4 linked regions of the Struthio camelus genome follow. The protein of the gene in region 2 purifies or fractionates together with the protein of the main gene of each other region. This does not show direct contact. Links are inferred from orthologs where the notes say so. Each region holds a gene or a part of one and is shown on either strand. Other genes may lie near its edges. The genes, in order: AP2M1, AAK1, REPS1 and RALBP1.

What was found.
Region 1: the proteins of AAK1 (region 2) and AP2M1 purify together in Homo sapiens (affinity purification with mass spectrometry; 5 studies listed by BioGRID and IntAct, counting the BioPlex papers as one, with this or other methods). This does not show direct contact. The link is inferred for Struthio camelus from reciprocal best matches to the Homo sapiens genes AAK1 and AP2M1.
Region 3: the proteins of AAK1 (region 2) and REPS1 purify together in Homo sapiens (affinity purification with mass spectrometry; 3 studies listed by BioGRID and IntAct, counting the BioPlex papers as one, with this or other methods). This does not show direct contact. The link is inferred for Struthio camelus from reciprocal best matches to the Homo sapiens genes AAK1 and REPS1.
Region 4: the proteins of AAK1 (region 2) and RALBP1 purify together in Homo sapiens (affinity purification with mass spectrometry; 3 studies listed by BioGRID and IntAct, counting the BioPlex papers as one, with this or other methods). This does not show direct contact. The link is inferred for Struthio camelus from reciprocal best matches to the Homo sapiens genes AAK1 and RALBP1.

The regions. Positions count from the first base shown.
Region 1 is NC_090950.1:22,546,368-22,553,801, forward strand, and holds the start of AP2M1 (AP-2 complex subunit mu), read left to right. Parts: upstream 1-4,434; 5' UTR 4,435-4,578; exon of another isoform or gene 4,579-4,619; intron 4,620-7,434. Other genes in the region: DVL3 (segment polarity protein dishevelled homolog DVL-3), read left to right, coding at 533-745, 1,053-1,477.
Region 2 is NC_090968.1:3,007,581-3,014,835, forward strand, and holds the start of AAK1 (AP2-associated protein kinase 1), read right to left. Parts: upstream 3,013-7,255; coding exon 2,850-3,012; exon of another isoform or gene 2,742-2,849; intron 1-2,741.
Region 3 is NC_090944.1:75,177,670-75,184,964, forward strand, and holds the start of REPS1 (ralBP1-associated Eps domain-containing protein 1), read right to left. Parts: upstream 3,021-7,295; 5' UTR 2,789-3,020; coding exon 2,636-2,788; intron 1-2,635. UniProt on the Homo sapiens protein: May coordinate the cellular actions of activated EGF receptors and Ral-GTPases.
Region 4 is NC_090943.1:116,298,732-116,305,969, reverse strand, and holds the start of RALBP1 (ralA-binding protein 1), read left to right. Parts: upstream 1-4,223; 5' UTR 4,224-4,433; intron 4,434-7,238. UniProt on the Homo sapiens protein: Multifunctional protein that functions as a downstream effector of RALA and RALB. As a GTPase-activating protein/GAP can inactivate CDC42 and RAC1 by stimulating their GTPase activity.

The sequences.
Region 1 (7,434 bases), on a different chromosome or scaffold from region 2:
GTCAGACTTGGCCCCTTGTTGTACAGCTCTCTTTAGAGAGCAGTGAAAAATGTCCCAGCACCCTTGTCATGCTTGCTGGGGCTGTGAATTTGGGAGCGTTGTTGACACTATCGTGTGCCACGCAGTCTTTTTGCCTGGGCAGCCAAAGTAGAGTCTTAGCCTTTTCTGACTGTACTTGGCTCCAGGCTCTGAGCTTTCACTGCTGGCAAGGGAGCGGTGCTCTTGACAGCTAGGTTCTGCTCAAATGAGAAGGATGGATGAGACTAATTGGCAAGGCAAGCTCTAGCTCTGATGTGGTCCTTTCCCTCTGAGCTTGTTTCTGTCTCGGAGTGACAGCTCCGAGTCTCGCAGCCTGGATGCTGTCCCTGCGGGAGGCACACGTGGCTGTACTGCTTAACAGGGAGGGTGCCAGCTTCTCTTACCTCCTTGTGTACCGCATCGCTGCCTGTCGACAAGGGTGGACATGATGCTGTTTCATCACACGTGGCTATCTTTCCACTCGGATTAACCCCTGTTCTCTACTTTCCTGCAGACATGGCTAACCTGTCTCTTCATGATCATGATGGCTCCAGCGGTGCCTCCGATCAGGACACTTTGGCTCCGCTCCCACACCCGGGAGCCGCACCCTGGCCTATGGCTTTCCCATATCAGTATCCACCACCTCATCCATACAACCCCCACCCCGGCTTCCCTGACCCAGGCTACAGCTATGGAGGGGGCAGTGCAGGCAGCCAGCACAGTGAAGGTGAGTGAAAGGGACCCACATGTGCCTGTAGAGCTGAGCAGGTGCCCTGTTCACTTGGGGGAAGCTGCGGGAACAGGCTAGTCCCTTAGGCAAGGCTGTATGCATGGGGGAGCCAGATCAAAGCCTTCATTCAGAGGAATCCCACAGGGGTTATGGGATTAGAGTTGAACGGAGAGTGAGACCATGGACTGTGCAGTCTGGTAGCTGTGCTGCAGTGTGTTGTAGTCCTGTCTTGGTGGGGAGCAGAGGATTCTTTCTTCCTGGTTTATCTGATGTGTTGCCTAACCTTGCCCCGTGTGTTTTGCAGGGAGCCGGAGCAGTGGTTCCAATCGCAGCGGCAGCGAGAGGAGGAAGGAGAGAGAGAAGACTGGAGAGTCCAAGTCAGGTGGCAGCGGGAGCGAGTCGGACCACACCACCCGGAGCAGCATGCGGCGTGAGCGTGCGGCCAGTGAGCGCTCGGTGCCTGCCAGCCAGCACAGCCAGCGCAGCCAGCACTCCCTGGCTCACAGTATCCGCAGCCACCACAGCCAGCAGTCATATGGGCCGCCTGGCCTCCCCCCTCTCTTCAGCCCCCCCATGTTGCTGATGCCTCCACCGCCTTCAGCCATGGGGCCCCCCGGGGCACCGCCGGGCCGTGACCTGGCCTCTGTGCCCCCAGAACTGACAGCCAGTAGACAGTCCTTCCGAATGGCCATGGGCAACCCCAGTGAGTTCTTTGTGGATGTAATGTGAAGCGCCCGTCCCCTGTCTGTCTGCTGCCCCTCCTTCCCCCTTCCATCCCCAGTCGTTTGTCTCCTAGGACCAGCCCCAGCTTCACCCCTTGTTTTTATGGGTCTTTTTTTTTTTTTTTGGTCTTGATAACTAAAAGAAAAAAAAGGGAAAAAAATAAATGGAACTAAACCTTGATTCTAATCCCTCCTCGAGCGGGGTGGAGGGGCCTGGCAGGCCTGCTGAGCTCTGCCAGCCCATCCTGCCACCAGACTTGTGTATTGCCGATGGTAATTCCCTCCTGCCGTCCTCTCTAACCCCATTAATCTGCATCCATCCCAGCGCCCTGTGCTGCTTGCCCGTGTGTTGCTGCTGCCGCAGTCCTTCTGCCCTAAACATCTCTTCTTTCTTTTCACCCTTTTGTGTTTCTTCTATCAAGCAGCAAAGAATTACGGGGTGTTTGACTTTCTCTGAGCCTGCCGCCCGCAGGGGGGAGAGCTGGAGCGTGGCGTGGCCCGACAGGAGGACACGGAGCTCCAAGGGCGCTGGGCACGCATGGTGCTGAAGATGTCTTCTTTTCTCCCCCTAGCGGAAGACTCCCTGCCCTTTCCGCAGCACTGAGAGGGGAGCAGCGCCCAGCTCTGGCCTTATATGTGTTTAAATCCAAGTGTAATTGCCTTTTGGCTAATGCATGAATGTTCCAGGGCTTCACTGCCTCTAGGGAGTGGAGGGATGGTGCCACTTTCCCTTAGCCTCCCTCCCCTTGCCGCTCCTTGGGCCAAATCTGAGCCTGGCGCTACCCTATGGCAGAACCCTCCTGCCTGCTTCCCTGACAGCGAGACTTGAGATTGGGTCCGTTCCTCCGGCATCCGACCCTGACTGGCGCTGGGTACCTAAACATGTCCGGTCGAGGCCTGGGGGGGTGTGTGGTGTGCACGGGTGTGAATGTAAGGGCAGAGCTCTGCTTGCTCTGCCAAAGGGGGTGCAGAGGCCCAGGCGTTGCCCTCCTGCCTAGCACACCCTGCTGCCTGTCTCCTGTGTAGGGGCTGCCCCTCGCCTGGGGCCAGTGTCTGCAGCTGGGGCCTTCCCCCTCCTGCTCTGCTGCGCTTCCCTTCAGCAATGTAACATCTCCCACAGTCAATGCTGATGTGTGGGTGGCCTGGACAGAGCTAGAGGGTGAGGGAGGGGCACTTCTGGTCCGCTTTCATTCTTTTGGGGAAAGCGGAGATCTCCTGTGTTCGCTGGCCAGCCGCACCCTCTGCTCCCCCGGGATGAGCTCTGCTGGCCTGTCGAGGGGAGGGAAGGGGCTCTGGGCCCAGAAAGCTGCAGAGCTGGGCCTGCCCCGCTCCAGCCTAGATGCAAATGGCTCCCTAAAGAGACGCAAACCCTCCTGTGAATTAAGGACTGTGGTGTTGAATGCAGGGCCCTGGGCTCAGTGCCCACAGAGGATTGCGATGGCAATTGAGTCCGTTTGCTCTGATGCTCCCTTCTGTTTTTTCCTCCTCTTTGGGGTGTGTGGAGCCTTTCTTCCACTCTACAAGAGTGGTGTGGGAAGGAGATGTGCCTTGGGTTAGGGGGTGGGGGGCGGCCTCCTCCTCAGAGCCTGGGGCTGAGCACGGTACGGTAGGGATGCATTGGACCCTGCTCCCGTTGGTCTTGGCGCCCTCTCATATTGCTGACCATGGCTTTCTCTGCAACAGTGTTGCCTCCTTCAGCCTTTCTTTCTTATGTTTGAATTTTTTATATTTTGGAGATGAAATGTATTTTGCTCCTCTGGGGTCTGCGTTGTGCCTGCACCCCCTCTGCCAGCTCCTGTGTGCCACCAGTTCATCTCCCTATGACTCCCTAAGCCTCTCCTCTTCCTGTGCCTGCTGGTGCCAATTTGCCCAGTCTCTGCCATCTTCCTGTCCCCTGATCTTGGTGCTGGCAAGCTGCTGCTTGTCCCTTCTCCTGCCTTTCGTAATGCCACCCAGCAGCCTCCCCTGACCACTGCTCACTGCCCTGCCCTGCCCTGCCCTGCCCTGCCCTCTGGGTTTTATAAAAACAAAACCAGTCTCCTTGTTTTTATTTATAAACATAGTTTTATTGGACTCCTGCCTCGTGTTGTTTTTTTTTCAGCACCCTCTTCTTTTCTATGCTCCTGTGTTTTGCTCGGCAGCAAGCTCTGGGCATCGAGGGGCTGTCCTGGGCCTGAGCCTCTCTGTTTTCTAACAGAGCTATTCTTCCTGGGCTATTGAGACCTGCCATGACTTAACCTCGGCCTGTCCCAGCCTCCTCCTGCTGCTGCTTTCTGGTGCAAGAGCTGATTGATCACAGCATTAGAAGATGAAAAATTATTCATTGGGCCTGTAAGGCAAAGATATTTGCGGTGCATGCGTTGGGGGGTGGGGGGATGACTGGGGCCTGGGCAGCTCTGGAAGTGGGCTCTGCCTGGCTGCCCGTGGCACGATGAGATGAGGGGGAGAGGGTGGCAGAGGGCGAGCTGCCCCAGGAGCACCTGCACATATGGCCTGTGAGGGGGGATGGCGCGGGTGGGTGATGGGAAAGCAGCAGTGCCTGTGGCTGGGCACGGCAGCTGGGGGCCTGGCCGAGTGCACCCACCTTTCCCCACGGGCTGTGTCCCACGGGTATCCCCAGCCCCCTGCGGATCAGGGAATTGAGGGCTGCTGGGGACAGTGGGCTGAGGGCCCTGCTCGCACGGACCATGCCGAGGGGCAGGGGATGCCCCGTGCTTCGAGCCCCCCCCCCGGGCCGGGGGGGCTGCTGCTGGGCCTGCGCAACTCCACGCGTGGGTGTGTCAGCTCTGCTACCTCCCGGAACTACAACTCCCAGCTCGCACCGCGCCATAGGACTACAACTCCCAGCGCGCGCCGCGCCGCAGGACCACAACTCCCAGCATACTCAGCGGCCCCCCCCACCCCCCCCGCGCGCCGAGCGACTCGGCGGGATGCGGAGCACAGTCCCCGCCCTGCCTCCCCGCGGAGGCGCATGCGCAACTGCGGCGGGGCGCGGGCGGGGCATGCGCGGCGGCGGCTCTGCAGTGATAGGGGGGGCGCGGAGGGAAGGGGGGGGTGGCGGCCGCCATCTTGGGTAGTGAGCAGCGAGCGGCGAGCGGGCGGCGGCAGGTGAGGCGCCGCCGCGCGGTCCTTCTTCCTCCACGCCGGAGGTGCGTGTCCCGCTTCTCCCGCGGGGCGGCTTCCCGGGGCGGTGGGGCTCGTCTCTTCCTCGGGGCCGAGCCGCCCTGGGTGGTGGTTCCCTCAGTACCCGCCGGGGGCGGGGGTCTGCGGGCCTCCCCCGGCGGGCGCGGCGTGGCACTGACAGGCCTAGGGGGGTCTTGTCAGGGCGAGGCCCCCCGACGGCTGCCCTTGGGGGGGGCCGGCAGCGTCTCCGGGCCGCCCCGGGGTCCCGCCTGGAGCCGGCGGGGCGGCGAGGGAGGGAAGCGGGCTCTCCCTGGAGAGCTGCTCCTCAGCCCGCTGCGAGCGGCTGCCGGGCCTCCTCCCGGGGTGGCCCCCAGCCTCGCCGCTGGCTGGAGCTGGCTAGCATCTATTCGCGTGTTGCTTTGGGGGGGAGGTGGTTGTTAGCCGCCTGTGTTAATTAATGCTCTGTCCGGAACACCCGTCGTGGCGGCTTCGTGTCCGCGGTGCTGCTGAAGACCGGGTGAGGGTGGTGGTGGCAGAGGCAAGACCTGAGCGGTGCAGGGTGTTGGGGAAAGGTCTGCACCGCTGTGCTGGGTCACCCCGAGCAAAGGTCTTGCGGTCGGATTAGGCAGGAACTTCCCCTAAAATGACTTATCTGTACTCCTGATATGAACATGAATTAGCTAGGTCGTGGACTGCACCCTCTAGCTTCCTTTCTGGAGAACCTGCTGAGGCAGACTATAGCTCTGCTGATGCTGAACTGTCCTTGTTCTGAGGTTTGAAATGGGCCCTTATCCCACAGCTCTTCTAAATGCATTTCCACTTCCTTTCTTCCATGGTCTAGGTTTTTGGAGTCTGTAAGGCTACAGGAAATGCAGCCTTTGTACAATGTAGTTGACTTCTCACTAGGAAATGAGTCTTGTTTGATCTGGTCTTCTCTCTATAAACTGTAAATTTTGAAGTTCTGGTTTTTTTCCTTGCTTTAGGATGACAAAGCTGCTGTCAACTTCTAGCCTCAGGCTGCCAAAAATCTGAGCCTGGAGCTTTCCCAGATAGGTGAGCCTGGATGGCTTCTGCTGTGGCTCAGAAGTTGAGATATTATGGATTTCTAATTGAATATAGGTTCCTGTAGTGGTGTTTTGTTAGGTAGTGTTCTCTTGAATGCTGTGAGGACCATAGTTACTATTCTGTTCAGTAGCAAATGACAGACTTGTCCCCGTCAGTTTTGCTTGCAGGGACAGTATCTCATCTGGTGAGATGCTGCCAAACTGCCTACTTCCATATTTTTTCTGTCAGAAGGAAAGCATTGCTTTTGTTGGGAACGCCATGTTACTGACATCTAGTGACAAGGATACCTGGTGTTCTTTGGGTTGCAAGCTTGCCATCTTTGTCTCCAAGAAGAGAACCTGTTTCCGATACCCTTGAAGGGTATCATGACTAAATTCTCCCTTTCAAGAGAGCACATTTCCAGCCTTCTAAGAATTGAGTCTTGAGGCTGTGAAGGGTTGAATCTTGAATTCTTTGAAACACAGATGACTGGAAGTGCGCTCTGCTGATTGGATGAGTTTCTAATCTTTTTGATGGGATGGGAATAGTCACTGAACAAAACATGCTTTATATAAAAATTTCTTGTGACCCTACTTAAACTTAGCTTTAGGTCTTCTTGATGCAGGGATGAGACAAAACTTTCTTGTGCAACACAAAGTGTCTTGCATTAGTGTTCTAAGCTTATACTACTGAAGACTGCTAGTGCGTGTTAAAAATGTTCTTGGGGTTAGCTGAAGGACAGACAGAAGTACAGCCCAGGGTGCCAAAATGTAATAGGTCTGTATAGTACAGCCTGCTTCTTTCCTTTAGTAGATGACTAGAGTCACAGAATGGCCGAGGTTGGGAGGGACCTTGGGAGATCATCTAGTCCAACCCCCTTGCTCAAGCAGGGTCCTCTAGAGCACGTCGCACAGGATTGCGTCCAGGCGGGTTTTGAATATCTCCAGAGAAGGAGACCCCCCACAACCTCTCTGGGCGACCTGTTCCAGTGCTCAGTCACCCTCACAGGAAAGAAGTTTGTCCTCAGATTCAGATGGAACCTGCTGTGTTCCAGTTTGTGCCCGTTGCCTCTTGTCCTGTCACGGGCACCCCTGGAAAGGGTTTGGCCCCATCTTCTTCACACCCTCCCTTTAGATACTTGTACACATTGATGAGCTCCCCCCTCAGTTTTCTCTTCTCCAGGCTGAGCAGGCCCAGCTCTCTCAGCCTTTCCTCATAGGAAAGGTGCTCCAGTCTTCTAGTCATTTTCGTAGCCCTCTGCTGGACTCTCTCCAGTAGCGCCATGTCTAGTACTGGGGGGCCCGGAATTGGACACAGTACTCCGGGTGCGGCCTCACCAAGGCTGAGTAGAGGGGGAGGATCACCTCCCTCGACCTGCTGGCAACGCTCTTCCTAAACGCGGCCCAGGATGCCATCGGCCCTCCTGGCCACAAGGACACATTGCTGGCTCACAGTCCACTTGTTGTCCACCAGGACTCCCAGGTCCTTCTCTGCAGAGCTGCTTTTCAGCAGAGTCAAAAATTACTGGCAAGCCACGCTTTATTTTGATCTCAGCAGGAGGTTGGCAGCTTAGCTGAAAGCTTGCAGCCTGAGGCACGGGATATGAAATGCAGTTATCTGTTCCAAAGTCATAGCAGAAAGAGATATACTGGCAAGTTGGGGTATCTAGGCCGTTAGTGGTCTGCAGAATACAAGCTCTTATTCAAACCGCAGTCCGTGTCTCTAACCTTTTCTGTTGAAGACGAATAGAATGCAAGTCACTGTTCAGAGCTGTAGCTCAAGAGTGAGCAGTTCGGC
Region 2 (7,255 bases):
TGCTATTACTTAGACTAGAGGAAGATGACTACAGAGACTCAAAGAACCCCCTATCGCATTACACTGTTTGTAGAAAATACTGATTTACCTGTATTATAATGCCACAAACAACCACTCAAATCCCTTCCTATATTATTCCCATCTACTTCCTTCCAGATGGAAGGATCCTGACTTGTTCCTCCCCACCCAGGAAAGCACATATCCAGACACAACTATTGGGGGTGGGGTGGGGGGGGGGGGGAGTACCAACCTGCATTGGATATCTCAGGGGATCTGCCCAAGGGACTGACAGCACATGGAGTTATCTGCCAGTCTGCCATCCGGCACACTTCACTGTGCCTGCGTTTAAGGACTTCCTGTCTGAGCCAGAGAGCAGGCTTCTTCAGCAGGGTTGCTCAGCAGAATTGAGGGTGGCTGGTCACAGATTTGACAGACAGAGGTAAATCCCAACACTTCAATTCCAAAAGTTCTGGTTCAACCAGTTCCTCAGGCTTGCAACTCTGTCTCCCCCACACCATCCACCACCATTTCAGAGTCCTTCTTTTAAGCCATTTTTTACACCTACTTTAATTTCTTATGCTTCACATGCTGCACCAACACACAGGCCCCTTCTCCCCCTTCTAAAGTAAGGGGGATGAGAGAGGTTTCTTTCGCAGGCAGGATATTCCATCTCCTCCTGCAACGCGCTTCCCAGGGGAATTTTCCTTTTAGCACAGTCAAGACTTTGCAAGTCAGCTCTCCAATACTGCTGAGCCAGCAAAATTAACACCAGATACAAAAAGTTTTCTAGACAAGGATTCAGACCTCAGTAGCACAGGGTCCAGGTTGCCAAACAGCTCCCCAGATCTCTAGCCGAGTCAGTGAAAAACGCTCCTTGCTAGCAGTTCTGGATCACCGGCAGCTACACCAAAAGGTCAGAAGTATGCAAAGCTGCCACACTTATAACCTATGTTGTCTCCCCAGATGACCTACGAGGCCTTTCTGGTGTTTATAAAGGAAACATTCTCCTCCCTTCCCATCAAAAGGTGATGACCCGCAAATCTACAAGCCACCTTGCTCATGTCTCTTTGGAGACTCCACTCACCATTCAGAGGGATTTCCGACTGCCTGTACCAGGGGTCTAACTGTGAGAAAATACCTGCCTAGCACACTTCACCTAGAGAACTTCCTTTGCCTTATGGCATGATCAGAAAAGAACGTCATGCCTACTTTACCAGCCCGTGCAAGCAGATCTAACAGCTGTAGCTAGCACTAGGCCCATCCCGCAGCCCAGCGGAGAACCCAAGAGTCACAGAGAAAAGCTTTCACAAGTAGCAGTTCCTTCGAGACAGCAAGGTATGAAGGGGAGGCACTTTTCCCACGATAATCTTTTGCCCACGCAGTCTGCCCTACCGCCCAGCACCTTTGCTGGCTGCAGCTTCAGTGAGCTGAGCGGAAGAGTGCCCAGTGGCATACAGGCTCACGTCCTGCTGCTGTCAGCAGCAGGGCAGGACCTGCCAACAGATTATTCATCAGCAAAAAAAAGTCTCTCATTTTCCTGTGTTACCAGGATGAGGCCAGTGCGCAGACAGGAACACTGTGACAGCCACTCAGGTTTAACTTGTCTAGTTCCTAAGCTGCTATGGCCAAAGGGCCTTAGAAGTATCAGCTAGGGCAAATCCATATTACAACTTCCAGTTCAAGGAAGGAGACGGGGGGGGAAAAATTGCTATAGTTATGAGCTGAAGGACTGTTTCTGGTGCTCCTCTCAGCTTGGCATGCACCAGAACCTATGCATCAGAAAAAGCACGTCTGGAAAAAAAAAAAAAAGGTCGCAGACAGATATTCTTTCACACTGAGATAATTCTCACAAACCCAAACACACACACAGAGTCCCTTACAGGTCTCCCATTTTAGGGTTCTGTCTGTAAAATCCAATACAGGCCCTCTCACTCAGCTCTTGTACATTAGCTACCCTTTCCTTTGCTATTATACAATCAAAACAAAACACTTCTCACCAAAATTACAAAGGATGCTGTGCAGGAGATGGCCCGGGAGCAGGTCTAAAGAGGCTAACATCTCTCTGAAGGTTGAGGCTAAGGTTACCAGCCAGAGACACGCATAAGGTACCCTATGCCCAACTAAATGAAACGTAAAATGATAGTTAAAGCAGCAGTGTTGGTTACAATTTAAAAAAATAATACCACCAGCTTTCTGCACTGCAAGGACTGTGTCCATAGGGAGCTTCATAACCTCTACTGTTCATTTCTTCTTCCTAAAATGTTTTCTTAACAAAAAGTGGGCTTGCCATTTTCCTTGCAGAAACTCCACACAAACAGCAATCCCCCATCTCAGATAAGAGCTAGCTCTACTCAGCCTACATACATGTGTGATAAACACGCAAGGAATTTACTCTAGCGTTTCCATCCCCTCACCCTAAGCTAGGGAAGGAGGGAACTGGCTGAAGAAAGTTAGAAGACCGCTGCTTTCTTTGTTTACAGGTACACTGCTCTCCACCAGAACAGATGACAACTTGGACTTTAATAAAAGATATATACATGCAAGCCACAAAGTGGGGGAAAGCGTTAGCTTCTGAAACACCTGCAATTCCTAAAGTCTGTAAAACACAAGAAGTAAAGCAAACCCAGCAAACCCACACTGGGTTGACGTGGTGGGGAGGGGGGGGACCCAGAAACGTCAAAGCACACAAGTGCGAGTCCCTCAAGGACGATGAAATATTGGGGGGGGGGGGGGAGGAGGAGGGAGGAGAAGAGGGGTAAAGAGGGAGGCCGCAGCCTCCGTCCCTAAGGAAAGAGGGAGGAGGGAAAAGGGCCGGGAAGCGGCGGCAGCAGCAGGCCCGGGCACCTCACCTTCGGCCAGCACCTCGTCCACCGTCACCTGGTAGCGGCCGATGCTGAACACCCGCCCGATGTAGCCGCTGCCGGGGCCGCCGCTGCCACCGCCGCCGCCGCTGGCGCCCGAGCCCGGGCCCGAGGCGCCTTGCTCCCGCCGCGAGTCGAAAAACTTCTTCATGGCTCAGGGCCGCCGCCGAGGTCCCGCAGCCGCCGCCGGGCTCCGGTGAGGAGGGGACGGCGGTGGGGGGGGGGGGGGGGGGAGCCGCGCTCGCCTCGCTCAAGGAGAGTCACACCTGCAAAACCGGGAGGGGGCGGTCAGTGCTGCGGCGCGGCCTCCCCCTCACGGAGCCGCCGCCGCCGCCTCCCCCCGGTCAGGCCGCCCGGTACCTCTGCGCGGCCGGGGGGCGCCTCCATGCAGCCCAGGCCTGCCCCAGCCGCAGCCCCCGCGGCTCACGGCGGGGGCCGCCTGCCGGCAGGGCCCGGTACCCGCATCGCTGCCTGGCCTGGCCTGGCCCGGCCGGGCCCGGTCCGGTCCAGCTCCCGGCGGCTACCGAGTCCGTCAGGCACCGACCCCGCCGCCACCGCCGCCGCCCGCCGGCCCCATCCGACCAGGAAATGGGCGGTCACAGGAAGTCCCGGCGGCAAGACCGCCCCCGGCTCGGCTCGGCCCGGCCCAGCCCCGCCGCTGCCCCCCACCGCGGAGCCCCCCCCCTCTTCCTCCCGCCGCCTCAGCGCCGTGGAGGGGCGAGAGACCCTGCTTGTGGGGGGGGGGGGGTGGATAATGGCGGCGGCCGGCCCCGCCGCGCGGCACTCTGGGAGCGGTAGTTCCAGCGGGCGCCGCGCCGCCTCCCCCACCACCACCCCCTCCCCGCACCGCGGACTACAAGTCCCAGCAGGCAGCGCGGCGCGAGCAACGCCGTTATGCGGGGCCGAGAGGGGATGGCGGGGCAGGGGGGGGCTTCCCGCTCGCCCCCGCTGGCGGCGATGCGCTCTGCGGGCTGCCCCGGGGGGCCGGCGACACCGGAGGGCCACCGGAGGGGCGGCGGGGTCCATGTTCCCCCCCCCCAGCTCCGAGGGGGAGCGCGGGGCCGCGCTGCGCGCAGGGATCCTGTCAGGGGGTCGCAGCCCGCGCGCGCGCACGCTCTCCCCGCCGTGACGAGCGGCCGTTACAGCCGTTTGTGCGCGTTTTGTTTTTTTCCAGGGGACACTTAAGGCCTCGGCGTTTTCGTGTCACGTAACAATAAAAAACTGTCCGCTCTGACAGCTTGGAAGTGAAGCTCCAAGGCTTTGTCTTCACGCAGGCCCGGCTTGCACCTGGTTGAGAATCTCAAATTTAAAAAAAAAAAAAAAAAAGGCACAAGAAACTACACACTGAAGAAAATAACTCCCCGCCCCCAAACTGTGCCTGGTCGGGGAACAAAGAGGTGCTCGAATAAAGGGACTCGGCCGTACCCCAACATCTCAGAACTCGCTGAGTGTTTTAAATCTAGCGGTTGATTTCGTGCAGCCTGGCTCAACGCTCTTTCTAAGTGGATTTGCCAAAATCAGATGTTTATTTAGTTTCCTGTTTCAAAGTAATTTGGGGGTTTTGTAGAGGCCTCCCCGGTGCTGATCCGTGGGTGCTCAGTACCTTTCAGGACGTGGCGCGGAGAACAACGCTCTCCACGCACCCAAAGCGCTCACTGGCTTTAGCGTATGGACTCTGGGACCGAGCCTTGGGTTTTCTGTTAAATTCTGTCTTCTTCCTCCTCCCCTCTCCAGGACCTGTCTAGTTTGCAAGCTTGCAGTGAGATGTTCACCAGCAGCGAGGTGGCTGGTCCGAAGAACCCCAAACCTGCGAGCCCGACATCAAAGAACGGTGAGTTGAGCTTGCATCATGTGAAATTTTTCTTAAAATGCACTTTGTGTTCTTCTCAGCCATTTTCTAGTTCTCAGGACTCGGGAGAGCTTTAAATTTGCCAGCCGACGGTGCCTGCAGCAGCCATCCCTGCTTTCCACACGCGTTACCTGGGAGAGCCAGAGCCGGGGTTTTGAATGGCAAAGGGGAACGTTAAACCAGCAAGAATTGGTTTTTCCTAGACCTGCGACCTGGAACACAAAAGCCTGCGGAGTCTGCGGCCGGAGAGGGACGCCTCTGTGAAAGCAGCGCTCTCACGCTCTCATTCCTCATCTCTGCCTGGGGCAGAAGGAGGGGCAAAAGAGGAAACCAGAGTGCGTTCGTATTTGCCTAATGACTATTATTTCCTGTATTATGGTAATAACTACAGCCATCGTGCTGACAAGCCCCAGTCCCATGTGCATAGGCCAGGCAGGCCCTGGCTATTGTGGGCTGGCAAAAATGTTTACCCTGGATTTTGTTTTCAGAAAGAGAACTTTAATGAAAACAACTGAGTAGCTAAAACACCCTGGAGAATATGTTGGGAAGCAATGCGCAAGCGAAAGAAATTACAAGCTTTGTACTGTTCTTTTTCCTTCATCGCTACCTTGCTTGAATGGGCTAGCTTTTGGGCACAGGCTTCCAACAGTGCCAAGAAGACAGGATCAGCGTGTTGTAAATGGACCTAATTGCTTTTGCCAACATTTGGAGATTTTTAAGATACATGTTATTGTGAAAGTGGCTCCCAGTATAAGCAAATACAATTGTTGATGATAAAATTTAGCATATGTTTTAGACACGGATCTAAAACTGCTTTACTGATGTAAGCATCGCTGTACAGTTGCTTTTCTGCTGAGCCACTGTGCCTCTCCAGAACGGTTAACTCTACACCTCTTCCATCATCCTTATTCTCAGCGGTTCTCCTAAGTAAGGCCCTACAAGCTGGCTGTGTGGACCTCAAAGGCCTCCTGGACCGCCATCATTCACGCAAAGTTTGTAGAGTGCTGCAAACTTGCTCCAATCTTTACATGATTTTCATGTCTCATTTACAAGACGCTCTTGGTCCACATGGCTGAAGCGGCAATCATGTCAAGCAGTCACAAACGTGAAAAGCAGTAAAACTGTCCTCTTTTTATTTAACAGGCATTTAATCTTCATTAAACCTTGTTCAGTTTTTATTTGTGGCTAGACGATGTGTTGCCCATGGCGAATACAGAAGGTTCACTTGCCCTGCAGATAGAGTAGGAACTGGAGAAAGCGTGGGTTCTGTCCAGTTTGCTTGCTTGCTTTTTTTTTTTTTTTTTAAATGGTCTAACCTATGAAACATCCTCAGCCATTTATTAAGATTGAGGTAAAATAGCAGAGACCTGCAGTCAGTGATGTCTGGAGACTCTGCAGAACTGAACAATTTCCAAGAAAATTGGGCATCTCTGTACAGTACAGGGAAATGACTCATTTCCAGCTAAGAAAGATAAAACCTACTGCCATGCAGAGAGCTTGCAGATGCACTGCTGAACATCCTAACTAGGCACTGAGAACTACTTTTTTTTAATGCACCTGGAAGTGCTAAGGTATAATGCAAGTCGGTATCAGATCCATGTGCAGCTATGGGGCCCTGAGGTTCTTGCCGCAAGCCCCCACAGACTCTGCTGGTGACTGTTTGGGGGAACAAAAGTATAGCAGAAGCAGATCCTCAGTTGCAGATGCTGATGCCATTCTTTATTCTAGAAAACATGAGGTGCAGCTGCATTGCTGCAATCCCAGTGACCTTCATCGGGATCAGAGAGACCTGAGCTTGAAAGGTTTACGTGAAAAAGCTAATCAGTGATTGCCAGCAGAGACGTGGTCAAGTCCTCCTCTCATCTAAGCCTGGTGCATCTCTGGTGTGCTTTTTGGAGTTGTACCACTGCACAGAGAAACTCAGTCCGACTAGTACTGTACCGACTAGTACTAAACGCCACAATTTAGTTCCTAAAATCTTGTGAGACTGGTTTTAAAATATTTGAGGCCTGAGGACATAGTCAGCAGAGCTGTTTGCTTCTATATTATCTGTCTGATTCCTGGTTCCCTTATACTACTAACAGAATGCATTCAGATCCCCAGGAGAAGAAACAGGGAAACATTAATATGGCTGCATCCTTCTTGATCAAACTTTCCAGGCAGCTCAGCATTTTCTAAATAAGAGCACAAGTTTGGAAATGTTGCACGTTGAATAACCTAAAAGCTAGGGAAGACTGACCTCTTCTGGATTTTTCTGGAAGTGGCAACAAGGTAGAAAAGAGCCTGCTTAGCTTTATCTCTGGTTATATCTAACTATCAGGAGGCAACTCCGTCCTGGAGGCGAGTGGGGTCCATCCCCACTAGATTTATCAACCTCACTAAAATCTTTCTTTGCTATTCTGTCCTACAGTGGGTGCGTAAGGCAGGGGAGGTAACATATAACAAGTTACAGCAGGTTGTAACAAGCTTTCCTAGTTTCCCTTCGCCCCCCACCCCAGCACTTAGGTTGCAGAGTTCTCCAGCGTTGTGTACCTGCACAATACCT
Region 3 (7,295 bases), on a different chromosome or scaffold from region 2:
ACATGTATTAACTCTTCTGTTGCAAACAGAAACTTCACGCAAACATAACTCCTGGCAGGAAAGGCTGTAGATGTATCCAGTCCCAAAACAACAGGTTTGCAAACAAGTCATGCATTTTTATTTTCAGCAGCATCAATTCTGAATTATTCAAAAGGTATCTACAGATCTGTATTGCTAAAGAGAAAAACTTGCAGGTTGTTCCTCAGGACTATCCAGTTCCTGTGGATTTGAATAGCAGCAATTTTGCATCAAGTTAAACTGAACACCAGAAAAGTATTTAGCATTTATGTGATTAGGAGGACTACACTTTATTTCAGGAGAATATAAGAACTGAATCGAGTACCTGAAGTAACGGAATCAAGTTCCTTTCCCTTACAAATACCAGGACTTTTAGGGAAACAGATAACAGAACACAGAATTGGGTAGTTAACGGAAAGGAAAAAAAAAAAAAAAACATCAGTGCCCATCACAGGGTTTCATCGATATTTTTTAAACTATGCTACATTGAGTTTTTAGTTGTATACTCACAACCTCTGAAGCATCAAATATCCTCTGAAGAACATGCACTAATATATCCACGTCTGCCCTAACTACAAGTACAGCTGTACTTCAATGCGAATATAAAGAACCAGGCAACTGGTCCTCTCCCTCACAAATACCAGGTACTTCACAGGTGACCAACATTAAACGCACAAGAGCAGCCTGACCTATGTCAAATGCAAGGGCATTTTGACTTTCTTTGCATTATTTACAGTCTCATTCCTCATGCAATCTTAACATCTTGTTTACTGTTTTAACTGCAAGGTTTTCCTTGAGATCACTTTAGTGATAAGCCAGGTCTGCTTCTGGAGTTAACAATTTATTTAGAACCCATGGAATGATGCCCGAGTAGTTTTTCTTTCCTTCAGATGCGCTCTCCTTTGCGAGAAAATATGTTACCTTCTCTGTACAGATAAGAATATAGTCTGTGGCCACTTGTATCCAAAATACCAAGTCTTTCTGCTCTTGCACTAAACCTTTGCATAGAATAAAATCTCTAGCACTAGCCTATTTTACCTACACAATGATCCAGACAGCTTTATGGAAAAGAGATTTTAAATACACCAAGCAGGTAAACATCCACTTTCCTGGGATGAGTTTTCTGAAATGCATTGGCCATAGACAAAAAGAAACAGTGAGTGGCCTTCAGGAACTTCATTCATAATACTGAACGTGAAGGCTCTCTTAACATTATGCACACTCTAGCAAGTTATCAAATAAAAGATTATTAGTTTTACTACTAACAAACATTTATTTTAGCCTTAAAAAAAGGAACAAAAAAACTCCCAACCCCTGACAACTATCACCCTCTTCTACTGAGCTGAAACATGTGATTCAGGGTATCTTAAACTCCTTTAACTAATCCAGTTGTTTTTATGAGCCCAGAAGACATTATCAATAACCCTTGCTAAGCATAAGTATTCTCCTGACATTTAGTACTAAATTGCAGAAAGTTGAAATGTGTGTCCTGTAGTTCTGGCTACAGTAACGCTGATGCTTTATTAAAAGGGCTGTTTATCTAGGAAGAGCGTGAAACTGCCTAACATACAGAATGCCTTTTAGATGCAGTTTTACCCACAGCATTTTTCAGAGGCGTTCAAAATACAGCATAAACTTTAAAGCACGAACACTGACAGGGATAACTGCAAAAGCAATTACTACAAATATTTATTGATTAAGCATGGCACCCTGTGAATAATTTCCTCAAATAATTACACGAGGCACATCAGAGTAGACTTTCCCTGTTCTGCATTGGTAGATCTGTAATACAATCACAGCTTTTACATCTTACCTGGCCAGGAAAAGCAGTGCTAAAACTCTTCATATACGTATTACAAGTACAGGCCTAACTCAATACTGCATTTTTCATTGCAAGAAAACGTTTTGGTGACTACAGGTAAGTTAATACCAGCTGGGAATAGATGCCTAAAAAAGACTGCATAACATAAGCAAAACGAATCAACTTCAGCTGTACCCAAAAATACAAACCCAGGTTTTCTTCTGTAGTACTCTTCACCACTGAATTGTAGGACAAACCTTCCTCACATCCTAAAATCAGTTTGTGGGGAGGGGGGGGCAGGGTTCTCATGCTTTGGATGGACTTTATCAACACAGAGCAAACAAGACACTTTCCTACCAGTTGCTGGACATGGCCACTGGAGTTTATCAGCGGACCTTTCCCAGTCTTGCAACTGGAAGCCCCACACACACATAAGCAGGGGCCCTACTAGGAGCACGCTCTGCCCAGCAACACGCGGACCCCCCCTTGCCTCCCTGCTGGAGAGGCTCAGCCCTGCCACCCTCCCGCCCGGGCTCAGGTGGACGGCTCCAGGCTCGCCTTAGGCCGGACAATAGCCCCCGACCGCCCCGGGTCTGGTCCGGCCTCTCCACCCCGGCTCGTTACCCGCGGCGGGGCGACCCCCGCCAAAGGGCTCCCGGCCGGGGAAGGACGCGAGAGCAGCCAGAGCCGGGCCGAGCGCACGGGAGGGGCGGCAGCCCCGGACGAGGCCGCCTCCCCGCGGGCTTTACCGGCGGGGCGGTGCCCAGGCCCGCCGGGAGCGCGGCCGCCCCGCGGAGAAAGGGCGGCTGCGGCTACCTGCATGACCACGTCGTTGGGCAGCTGCGCGGCGCGGAAGAGCTCCAGGACCCGCCCGTTGGACGCCACCTTCTTGGTGCTCTCGGTGTCGCAGTAGGAGAAGAGGTCGCAGTAGTAGCGCTGCTCCGCCTCGCTCAGCGTCAGGCCCTCCATCTTACACCCGGGCACCGCGCAGCGCTGCTGCTGCCGCCGTCGCCGCCTCGCATCCAACGGCGGCGGCCTGGCAGGCGGGGGCAGGAGAAAGCGCGCCGAGCCGCCTCACGCCGCCCGGCCCGGCCCGGCCCGGCAGGGGAACAACGCCGCCGCCGCACGCCCAGCCAGCCGCCGCGCGCGAGCGGCCGCTCACACCTTCCCCCGCCAACCGCCCACCCGCCCCGCCCTCCACGCCCACACGGCGGCGCGCCTGCGCGCCTTCCCCCGCGCCTGCGCCAACCAGCGGGCGAGCGGCGGCGGCGGCGAGAACCACCGGAAGTGCAAGGCCCAGCGGGGCGGGGCTAGCGGGGAAGAGCGCGAATAAAGTTCCCGAGCGGCGCCCTAGGGCCCGCCCCCTTACCGAGGCCCGGATATGCAGCCGCCGCCGGAGCGGAGGGGGAGGTGTTGTGCCGGGCGCGCGCGCGGCAGCGCCCCCTGTGCGGCCGTTGGGGCGCGTGCGGCGGGGCCTGGTGGCGCCCTGCGGCGCCGTGGCGGGAGCAGGGTGCTGCCGGCTGCGCCCTCCTCCTCCTCCTCGGGGCGCCGGCGGCGTCCGTGGCCTGCTCGCCGGTCCGGCCGGGCCCGCGCCCCGCGGCTGATGGGGCAGTGGTAGAGGCCCTGTGTCGGCGCGGCTGCGCGGGCGCCTTCCTCGTTTGCAGGCCGGCCTGAGGAGCAAGCGAGGGCAGGGCTGAATGGTTTCCACAGTCTGCCTTCCCTGTGACCTAGAGGGCTCCGGGAACAGAGGCCTCCCTAAAGCAGGTTTTCCTGATAACTGATGACTGCTCTACCCAGTGTGCCTGACTATATCCTCAACGTGCTTTCTTCTTCTACCCTCAGTGCTTCATGCAGCATTGCTACATAACACAATACTAGGAGGTGCCTTGGTAATAGCTCCATACATCAGCCTAGCAAGAAAGAATAAGTAAGGGCTCGCTTGTCTCTTCAGCCGGAGTTACCACTCTGCTTGTCCCGCTCTCTTTTTCCTGGACTCTACTTTGGTGGGGAAATGTAAGCCCTCACCAGAATACAACTGCAGTTAGTTCTTTGCAGGGTAACTGTGCTTCTGGAGCCAGTCTGCCATTCCTGACAGTCGGTTAACCTGTGCAGAATGTCATGGTCTCATACTAGACCCTTGCTAGTACCTGGTCTGGTTTAAATCCTGCTGAGGTGGAAATCCTAGTATTTAGAGACATTGTCTCCCCCTTTCTCTTTTTTTCTTTTTTAAATTTATCTGTCTTTTTTTCCAGTCCGTCTTCCTTCACAGCTCTTCCTTTTCTCTTTCCGAGTGGCTGCTGCTGCCTTTGTTGTACTTCACTTAACCATCTCATCCTTTTTTACCCATCAGCTCTGATTTCTGAATTTTGATTCCAGCATTTGTCTTCTATTTGAGCTAAAAGAACATCATTATAATTTAACAAGGTAATACTAATTGTTTTTCTGCAATTAGATAGTTCTTTTCTGAACTTAAAGCAGAGATTAGTCTTTCTTGCTCTCTTTGAAAAACATAGTATATCCTCTTGCTGCTAACTAAATTTTCTAGAAACCACTGAAAAATTACTTTGGGAAGATCCATCTTTGTGTTAACTGCAGAAACGTACCATTATGGAATCTTTTGCAACCCCAGCTAATATTAATCATGAGACCACACAGATTCTTCATGTTTCTCAGTTAGTTAAAATTCTTTATGGGCTATATAGAAGAAATTATAATTAACTTTATAAAATCATAATAACTAGATATATCAAAAACTGAGATAGGAACAAATTAGCATCGGAGGTCAGTTGATTGGAGCCATTGTCACGTATTTCTGTAAGTAAAATGAATATCACCTTTCCTCTAGGGCTAAATTGCATACTACAATACTATCAGTTAAACAGTCATTTGTAGGAGAGCTTTTAAAAGTGCTTGCTAGTAGGTGATTGGGTTCAAAGAGCATTTGTTTCCTAAAGGTTCAGTGATTGTGTGCTGGTTTGGGCACTACTATTTGGAAGTTAAATCTATGTATGTATCTACAGCCATAAACTTCTTTAGAAATTAGTTTCAGGACACAGAAGTAGTTATACTTGTCAAAATAATTTTATATTATGAGTTTTATGTCAAAGTGTGATGCCATTATTTACTGGAGAGTTGAATGCATTGGGGGAATATATGGGACTTTTCACTGTTTATACCACCACTCTGAAAACCATTTAGGGAGCTGTTTTGGAAAAGAAGCTGTTTGGTTCCATTTCCAACTCCCATATCATAAACTTACCTCCTTGCCTTTGTGCTAATTCAAAGACTTAGCAGAAAGAGTGAGAATAAAATGAGGCATAGCAAATTAACTTCTAATTCCCAAGGGCTACATATGTGGGAAACATGTTTGCCTCAGTCCCATTTACAGTGTATCTGTGTTTGGCTATGGGATCTCCTTTCCCTGGACAGGACCTTTGCAAATCTCCAGAGCGAGGTAGGTGTTCAGAACGTTACCTGTTCCCATCAAGTCAGACTCCAGGTCTACTGAGATGAAAAAATTAGCTGGATTTTTCAGTGATAATTTCTGTCTTGTTCTTTACCTGTTTTGTTTACTCTTCAGCACTTTCATTTCTAGTTTATTAGTTTGGGAAGATCTGTATCAGAGCATTTCCCAGAGCTCGTTTTAGGTATGCAAAGAAGGAGGTTTATGGCAAAATACTCTCCCAAGTATATTTTCATTTTTGATGTCTTACTACAATAAAAAGTTGATTTAACTGCCTTAAATTATCATTTAAACATAGCAGGAGGAGCTTTCTTGGCTTTTTAAGGTACCATACTCTTTATGCTCTTTTTAATTCACCTTAGAATTCAGAGTTACGAATTAAGAGTTAAACTATTCTCCAGTTGGTGCCTAATTTTACTATATTTTCTGTGAAGCAGATGACATTAATATCAAAGCAATCATTCTTTTAAAGGAACAAAATCAGAGAAATCATCACTGGAGCCCCAGAACTAAGGACCCAGATAGTGCAAAGTTACTTTGCCCGTAACAGTTTTTAGAATCAGAACCAAGTTAAGCACCAATAAAACCTTGTTTTTTAGAAAAGGAATACTTTACAACTTACTATGCAACCAAAAACATGCATGTCAGTTGCTGTTAGGAAAAAAAAAACCCGAAACCAGATATATTGTAATGTTTTATTCATTTAAGGGAATTGCCAGTTAAAACACTGTTCAGATTTCAGTATCTTTTATCATTATTTAATGTTGATTTCTAGAAACTAGTTGTTAAACATGCTGAGACTAATTTATAAATATAACTCAAACACATGCATATACAGAGTCTTGTCTTTATCAGGTGTAATGGGAGGGCCGTGTCCCAGATCTCCCTGCTTCTGATGGGCCTCTGAATTCTTGTTGGAGAGTCTCATGTGCTGCCATTATTTGCAGCAAAATAAGTCATATGTTTATATAACTTTTTTATTGAAACACATTGAAATAACTTTTAATCTTTTACAGTTTGGGCACACTTTCCATCTTGTACCTCTTTCCCCAAGTTTAGAAGAATGGCCCTGAGGTTATTTGTCATTGCTTTTCTAAGTTTTTTTCCATACATAATGCTGTGGAGCAGGTTTTACAAACTCTGTCAATACACTCCTTTACTTGCAACTCATCATGAGTTGCAGGAACTTGTTCTGTCCTCATCCCTTAGTGGAAAGAGAAGTAGAGTAATGCTAAAAATGAATGGGAGATCGTTACAGAAATCTGCTGCTGCTGACTTCGGAGCTGCTTTGGAGGGGGCATACTTTATTCCTAGACAGAAGAATATTGTGGGCGTTTCTAAATCAAAGAAGTCCTTGTTCCGCTTTTCTAAAAGCCTCCTTGATTCCTATCATATGGAAAATCAACACTTTTAATGTAAATACAGTCTTTTTAGAGACTATATAGATATTTGTGTCTACAAATCTGTAAATTTCTCCATGTGTGTTGTATGAGTTACACTTTGTGACATCTTGTCAACCTTGATAGTTACATTCTTGCAATTTTGGTAAACTACAAAAACACCAGTTTTTGGTTAGGTTATACCTGCTGGTGATTTTTTATCTTCTATGGAATAGCATCCATATTTCAAAAAATCTACCCTCATAAAATCTACCCCGACTTGTCTTGCTAGATTATTTCTCCACCAAAAAAATGCCCCATGTTTTAGTCTGTTTTCAATGGCAGATGAAACAATTCTTTCCACGCGAAGCTATGTAGCAGACAATAACAACAAGGAGTCTACCATTTTTTTCTTTTGGACAGAGAACCCCTTTGCAAGGAGTGTTCAGCGAGTACACAGTGAATCTCAAGGAATACAGTTACCACAATGTGGTCGTTCTGATCCCTTCTGCATCTCTGTGCAGGCACATCCCATAAGGGAATGTAACTTCTTTCTCAAAAGCCTCTCTAGCATGATGTATAACCATTAAAATACGCATGGGGTCCCGGCTGGAGACATTTATTAACTGTGGAG
Region 4 (7,238 bases), on a different chromosome or scaffold from region 2:
CCCCCGGACCTGCTGTCTCCCCAGTAGTTGACTTGGACATCCTGGTGCCTCCGGTAGCCAACTCGCAGTTCCTCTGGTTTCTGTCTGCCTTCCCAAGCCACTTACCCTGCCACCGGCTAGTCCGGCTTGACGTTGGCTCACAATCACACGCCAACGTGCAGACCCACACCATATGCACACGCTCCGGTGTCTGAAGTGTGGCACTCGAGAGACACGCAGCCCCTGTGACTCGTGGCCCCGCTGTGGTGGCACTCAGGCCTCCATGCACACACTGAATAGAGCCCCCTCACACAGGAAGAGAGCTAGAAATAGAATTTATGGAGCAGACAGGACAGAGTGGTGGTGAGGCACAGGGCATGGCCAGACAAGCGTAGTGCAACCTGTTTGCACCTGTCCAGCCCCTTTTATCTCCTTATCCCACTATTTTCCCACACTTGTTCCTCCCCAAACCACTTTGATCCCTCCTTCTCCCCTCCTGTGGTCCTCCTCCTAAACATCATATAGGAATTTTTGTACAACCCCTAGACAGTCCTCCCTGCAGGCCATACCGAGTCCCACGCCCCCAGCAGACGCTCTCTCTCACAGAGCTGCTCCTCATGGTTAAGGGTCCCCCTGGCCCCAGGGCTCCTTTCTCTGACTGGTTTATTGTGATTCCCCCACCTGCCATCGTGCCTCAGTGCTCTTTCGTGCTTGCGTCAACAAGTCTTTTATCACATAACCTAACATATTAGTGATTATAATGTCTATTGGGGTTTAAAAAAAAAAAAAAAAAAAAAAAAAAGCTTGTCCTGAGATTTCCCACTAGGTGCGACAGTGTTGATGGATGAGTTCTTGGCGTGATCTGTTTGACCAAGTACTATGTAGTTAAAGTATACTTAGAAACAAGACATTGGAAGGAACAAAGTCTTTTTCAAACAAATCTAGCTAAGAAGGCTGCCAAGGTCCAGTTTTTTAATATCCTTTCACTGCATATGTCTTTTTAAATTTTCTTCTTACAACAAAGATCTGCGAATAGTGTGATTCCGTAGTGCTAATTGGAGTTGTAAAGGCAGAGCTCAGTATAGCGAACTGATTTTTTATCATATCGCTCTTCTGGCTCTGTTCTCTCCTGTTATGTGATACTTCCTATGAATAACTTAGCTTTTTGAAGATTTTAACTAATCTATTTCTTCTGCACTTTCCTTGGTGTATTCAAGCTGTCATTGTTTTGCATGCATGTTTTCATATGTGGCCGGCCAGTGTCTTTCATCAGCTATACCTCTTTATGACTGCTGTGTATTTCTTTATGGCTGATGAGAATTAAGCAGTGTGTCTACCTGTGGTTTGCCCACCAGGGTAGACAATTTAATAGAATCTAATGTGCTAAAGTTATCACAGAATAGTACAGCCCATTTAGACTCCCATCTCTCAAAGGGTTTTGAGTGAACACTTCTCATCGTGTCCTCTCCCCATTCAAAAGAAGTTGCTGTGCAGACAGGAGTGAAAGAAAGAGAGGGCCATAGGGGGAGCAGGCCCTTCTTCTTTCCAGTTCTGCCACACACAGACTTTCCTCATCTTTATGGAAACAAGTCTTCCATTATGATATCCTCTCAATTCAAATATGTGCTTGGTCAACAAAGGAAAGTTGGAGGTGTCTATAATAAAATGACTGTGCTCCCTTTGGCCTTTAGTCATGAAGTTGAATTGATCTCTGGAAGATATCTATTATTTACCACTTCATACATAGCTCTTTCAGTTTTATGAGCAAGAAGGACAGTGCTCAGTGTCATAGGGAGTCCATCTGTGGTACCAGCAGATGTAACTACATGGACTAAAGGAGGTTTTTTTTTAACTTTGAGTAAACCTGGAAGTTGAGATATTAAAATGGTTTCTCAGGCACTATTTCAGACTGCCAAATAGAAGATGTACCCACTATCTTTCACTAATAAAAAGACAAACTTAACCCAAAACTGGCTTTCTTGAAGCAGTCACAGCTTACACAGCTCTGCTTTTTTTCCTTTTTTTCTAAAATGCTTTCTAGACCACCACTCCATTATTATTTTGTAACATTTATGAGGCTCAGGTACAGAAGCAAGACTGAATTTCAAAGCAGAGAGTTTGTCATCTTAGAATCCTTGCTTGACTTTGTCCTTAAAACAGCAAGAATTTATGAAGAGTGAATGTAAGGAGGTGTAGGGCGTAAGAATGTGTCTCAGTCTGCGTAAGCAGGCCTCGGACCACAATGAGGTTTCTGAAGTTTAAAATTACCCAATTGTATTTCATATGGCAGCAAGCTGGTCCAGTACTGCACACAATTACTTGTTTGTTTTCAGCAAAAAATGGAGGAAGATTCATTCTCTGTTTATCAGCTGATGGGCCTAGTGTTTGTGAGCTTATGTTAACAACAGCCTCTGATACTACTTACTCTTTGGAGTTGAGAGCCTCTAGTGACTATCACTTCAAGTGGAGACCCTTACAGGCAATCATCTCAAATTACTATAGATGTTACTAAAGAAACCATTCCCTCCTTTTGCCAAAAATAATACAGCCTTTGTGTAACAAAAACCATTAGCTGTGATGTTAAGTTAAATAAAACAGTAAGTACTTGCCTTTAAACTGTTCCTTCTGGGAGGGAGGAGGGAAACTGAGAGTTGCATGATTATGTAATATGCTGTGGAGACAATATCTCTGTGCTCCAACACTAATCAGAGTGTTTACAACCCTCCCTTTTGTATTTTCTACTGAATAGCACAAATTCCTGTGGGGGACCTTTTACATTACCACAGAAGGTTGCACAAAGAACCCATTTGACAAGGACTAAGGAGCATTGAATCTCAAGTGAATAAACGAAGCAGGTGGCACACTGCCACAGTATTAATGTGTCCAATAGCTTAGGGATTATGTTTGAGGCTGTGGGAATGAACTGGTCTGCTTCTTACTGGAACAAATTCCCTTGTTGATTAGGAATCCTGAAAAGGATTCAAGATATGCAGGTGCTTAACATAATCAGAAACTTGTATGGTAAGAGACAAAGAATACAAAATTCTTTTAATATCACTATAAACAGGATGCGAGTTGAGCTGGAGATGTGTTTCTTGGCACAGATCACCTCCTCGAGTCACAGAGTATTTCTCCAATTTCTTGTATGCCACAAAGACAAACTGGTAATGATGCAAGCTCAAATCTGTTGCACAAGATGAAGCCAAAGTAGATGGCTGCTCTCTTTTGCATTGTAAACATGGAAGTCGATAGCAATGTTATTGAGAAAGCAGGCTGGATGTAAACAGCTACAGAGCTGTGTCAGCTCTTGCATTTGTGTTCCGTGTCTTTCAACGTTTGTTGACTTTCCACTGTTAAAAATTTTAAGGGGTTTATCTCACAACAGGTTTAGTCGTAGACTACTTGATGAATCGTTCCCAATGCTTATGTTTCTCGTAAAACTGCTCAAAGAAGCAGATTTTTGTTCCTGTCTGGTTAGGGCGCCTTCGGTGAACTTTATGAAGTTTTTCCGTCATTGAAACAAGAGTGCTGAAGGGGTCACTCCGGGGACCCCCTTCAGCGGTGCTCCACTCAGCCCTTGGCCCCAAAGTGCCTCGCTGCCTGCAGCTGGGACCAGCTCCCCTCGCACCCCGGTCGCAGGGCTTCCAGGTGAACCTCGGCCTTCCGCCTCCCTCCCAGGACGCCACCGGCTGCTTGCCAGAGGAGCTCTCTCCCCCGGCAGGGCCCACAGCTGCCGCAGGCCAGGGTCCTGCACCACAGAGCACGGCAGCCCCCACGACCGACGAGGGCCGGAAAGCCATCGAGGCAGGAGCCTCTTGTGCCCCCGCAACAGCCTGCGCTCCCTCAGCGCAGCGCTCGCGGGAGTTGAAGAACGAGCGAGGCCGACAGCACGGCCGCGCCTCGAACCTCGAAGCCGCCTAACACGCGGCTGCCGCCTTCCACCCCGCGAGGTCGCTGGGAGTTGTAGTCCGACGCCCGCAAAGCGACCGGCTACCCCTTCCCCTGGGTTCCGCCGAGGGAACTACAATACCCGGCAAGCCCCGCCCGCCCGGGGGAAGCGCGGCAGGGGAGGGACATGACGGGCGTCTCCTTCCCTGCCCCGTCTCGTCTCCCCGCCCTCCTATTGCGCGTGCGCAGAGCGCCTCTTCCGGGGTGGTGTCCCCGCGCGGGCCCGGCGCCCTTCCCCCAACGCTACAGCGCACGCGCCCTACTTCTCCCCCCCCCCCCCCGCGCTGGCTCCCCCCGCCTCCGGCCTGGGCAGCTTTGCGCCTGCGCGAGCCTCTGCCCCGCGCCGCGGAGGAGGTGGCGGCGGCGGCGCATGCGCGCTGGGGAAGCTCGCGCCGCTGCTGAGCCGTCCTTGCGGGCCGGGCGGCGGAGGCGGAATGGGGCACGAGGCGGGGCCCCGCGCGTGAGGCCGAGGCGGAGCCGCCGCGCCGGCGAGCCGGACCCCGACGGTTAGTGCTCCGATGGGGGGAGGGAAGGGGGGCGGAGGCGGGAGCCTCCAGCCCGGCCGCCTTCGTTTCCCGGTGAAGGGCGAGGAGGAAGCCACTTCCGGGCTGGTGGGGGGATAACGAGTGGCGGGGAGCCTGCCCCCGCCCCCGGCAACGGCCGCCCGGGGGGGGAGGGAGGGGCAGCCTCAAGGCCTCCCCAGCCGGCAGGCGCCCCGGGTGAGGGGCGGCGGGGTCGCCGGCTCTTCCCTGCCCGCAGACGCCGCCTTCTCACCTGGCCGGTCCGGAGGGCAGCAGCGTGGGCTGCGCTGCCCGAGGAGCCGTCCCCGCCGGCGGGGGGAGGGAGGGGTGGTCGGTCCCCGGCTGGGGGCTTCCCCCTTGAGAGCTCTGGGGTAAGGCGGCTGAGCTGCTGGGCGTGCGTGCCCCAGTGGAGGAGCGGGGTAGTGCTGGGGACGGAGACCATGTGTCCCAGCCCTGTCTTGTCTCCTGTCTTACTGCTCAGGAGAGGGATCTGGTCCTTAGGCTTTCTCTGATGACATTCTTTTCGCTCGTGTCCTTAATGAGAATGAGCATTGTGCATCCCTGGGTGGATGTCAGGCTCCTCCTGTGCCGTATTTTCTTATTACCTTAATCTCATGCTCCAAAGCATGTGTCAGATTTGCTGTCGCTCAGGCTGAGATTAGAGGTGTTCTAGGTTACATCCTCGGTTTCTATGAGTTTTTTTTTTTTATTATTATTCATTTACCTTCAGCTGGAGGTTACATCTTTAAAAGTAGAAAACTCTTACTCTCATTGACATCATTATAGTTTTGCACCTAGTATGCTCAGCAAGGTCCAAGCATGCTGTGTTTGCTTGCCTCATGATGTTGTTTAGAAAATGTGTACATCATGTACCATTGCATCATACATGAGTAAAAAAGTAGCTCTTCCCTTAAGCGCTTAAGTATCTTAAGACAAACCATAATGAAAATACCAAGAAACCACAGTGATAATTTGAAAGTATCTCTTCCCGAGAATGTTTTGGTTTCAGTTTGTTTTCTGTTGTCCCTAAGGTTTATGGTCATCCTCAACGAAGAATAACAATCAGGAATAACTGGCTAGGACCTTTTTACAAGTTGCATAAAATAGATGGATTTGTGCAAGTCTTTTGTTCCAGTATAGCAAAACAGCAATATTTGCCTTCTCACATCTATTTCTCACCTGGAAAGCTCTTGAAGCACCTACTATTGTAAATGTTCAACATCGCTGTAATGCAGTGTAATTCAAGGGTGATATTAAGGCTATGTTTGGTCTGATTGTAGATAGATATGACTTTATTACCAAATTTTAAAGAGTCCATTTGATTTCATTTTTGATATAATTTGAAATGTTGCATGCAACTTCTGATGAATGATGCCATACAACAACTTATAATTCATTTTGATATAGTCCTATGCAATCAGTGTGGCACGTACTCGTGGAGGGCTCTTTTCTGCAGAGGAGTAAAAAGTGGGGAAGAAAAGCTTCCGAACAGTTATGTTTTTGAATGTTTATTACTTCGAGGTGTTTGAAATGTGCTGAAAATATGCTGTAATATTGTAGGTAATTATGTCCATAGTAGGGTGTTTATTATGGAAGAGCAGGGAACTGTAAGTTTCCTGTTCTAGGGATCTCTTCTCTATCACTCTGGGAAAATAATTTCTGTTCTTTAGTTTTGCTGTATCTGAAATGGAAATAGAAGATTGGAATAGCTGCTTCAGACTTTTAAGAATTCAACTGCAATTCTGGCATCATTCTTTCTTAATTAAATGTGGTTTTTTTCTTTGTGGGGCTGGAGGATTTTGTTTTGGGGTGTTTTTTTATTTGTTGTTTGTAAAATTTTCACTTGTAAAACCACTGGTGCAGTTGTACTTAGATGCAGTAGAAAGATTTCTTGTATCGCGTAGCTTATTTCCCTCCCTGTATGTGCATGTCCATACTGGAATATGTTGTCTTTGTATTGCAATAACTGTATTATCGCTTCAGTGCTGTATTGCTTAGTTCTGTAGGTGTAGTTAAAGCAAAAGTGATGTGCATGTGTACTGTATGTTAACACTTTAGGATTGTGATCTTAGTCGTATCTTCTAGGCACTTCCCTAGTATGATTTGTCTGTATTTTCTTACAACAAAGGCTTAGATGTTTTCTGAGTAAACAGTGCTGTTTCTGACAAGCTATTTCAGACTGATATGAACAACGCTGCCGTGTAAAAATACGGACAAATGCAAACTTATTTTCCTTCTTTAAAAGTTGATGTCATGTAACTGGTATCTAAATGTCAAAATATAGTATGACTTATTTCTTCATTTAACTGTATGGTTAGTATAACCTACTAAGCTTTACTCTGGACTAATGCGTCTAAGAATATTTTGAACCAGTGAATCACTCGCTACCCTTAAAACTAGCCGTGGTTCACCATGTGCCTACTTCAGACTTTCACCTGAAGAATCCATCAGTTGTTCTGTTCACCGGTACCTTGGACACCATAGTTCGGAAATCGTTGATCAAAAAGAGAAGATCCTGCCTTTGGGCTGGATATAGCCTGGGGGAGTCCTGCACTTAGGCTGCATCGCCCAACTGGATGGTGTTGAAAGATGATTACTGTCCAAATAGCAGTTCTCTCCCGCCTGCCGTGGCCCAAACCAGAAAGGTGAGCGTGCAGGTTGCTTTTGGAAAAAGGAAGGGTATGACTCTTTTCCCTTCCCTGCATATCCTCCCCCTGGCAGCCCATCAACCCTGTTGAGCATGGCTTCAGCAAATACACAGTTAGTTGAAGCTGTGAGGGGACTATGGAG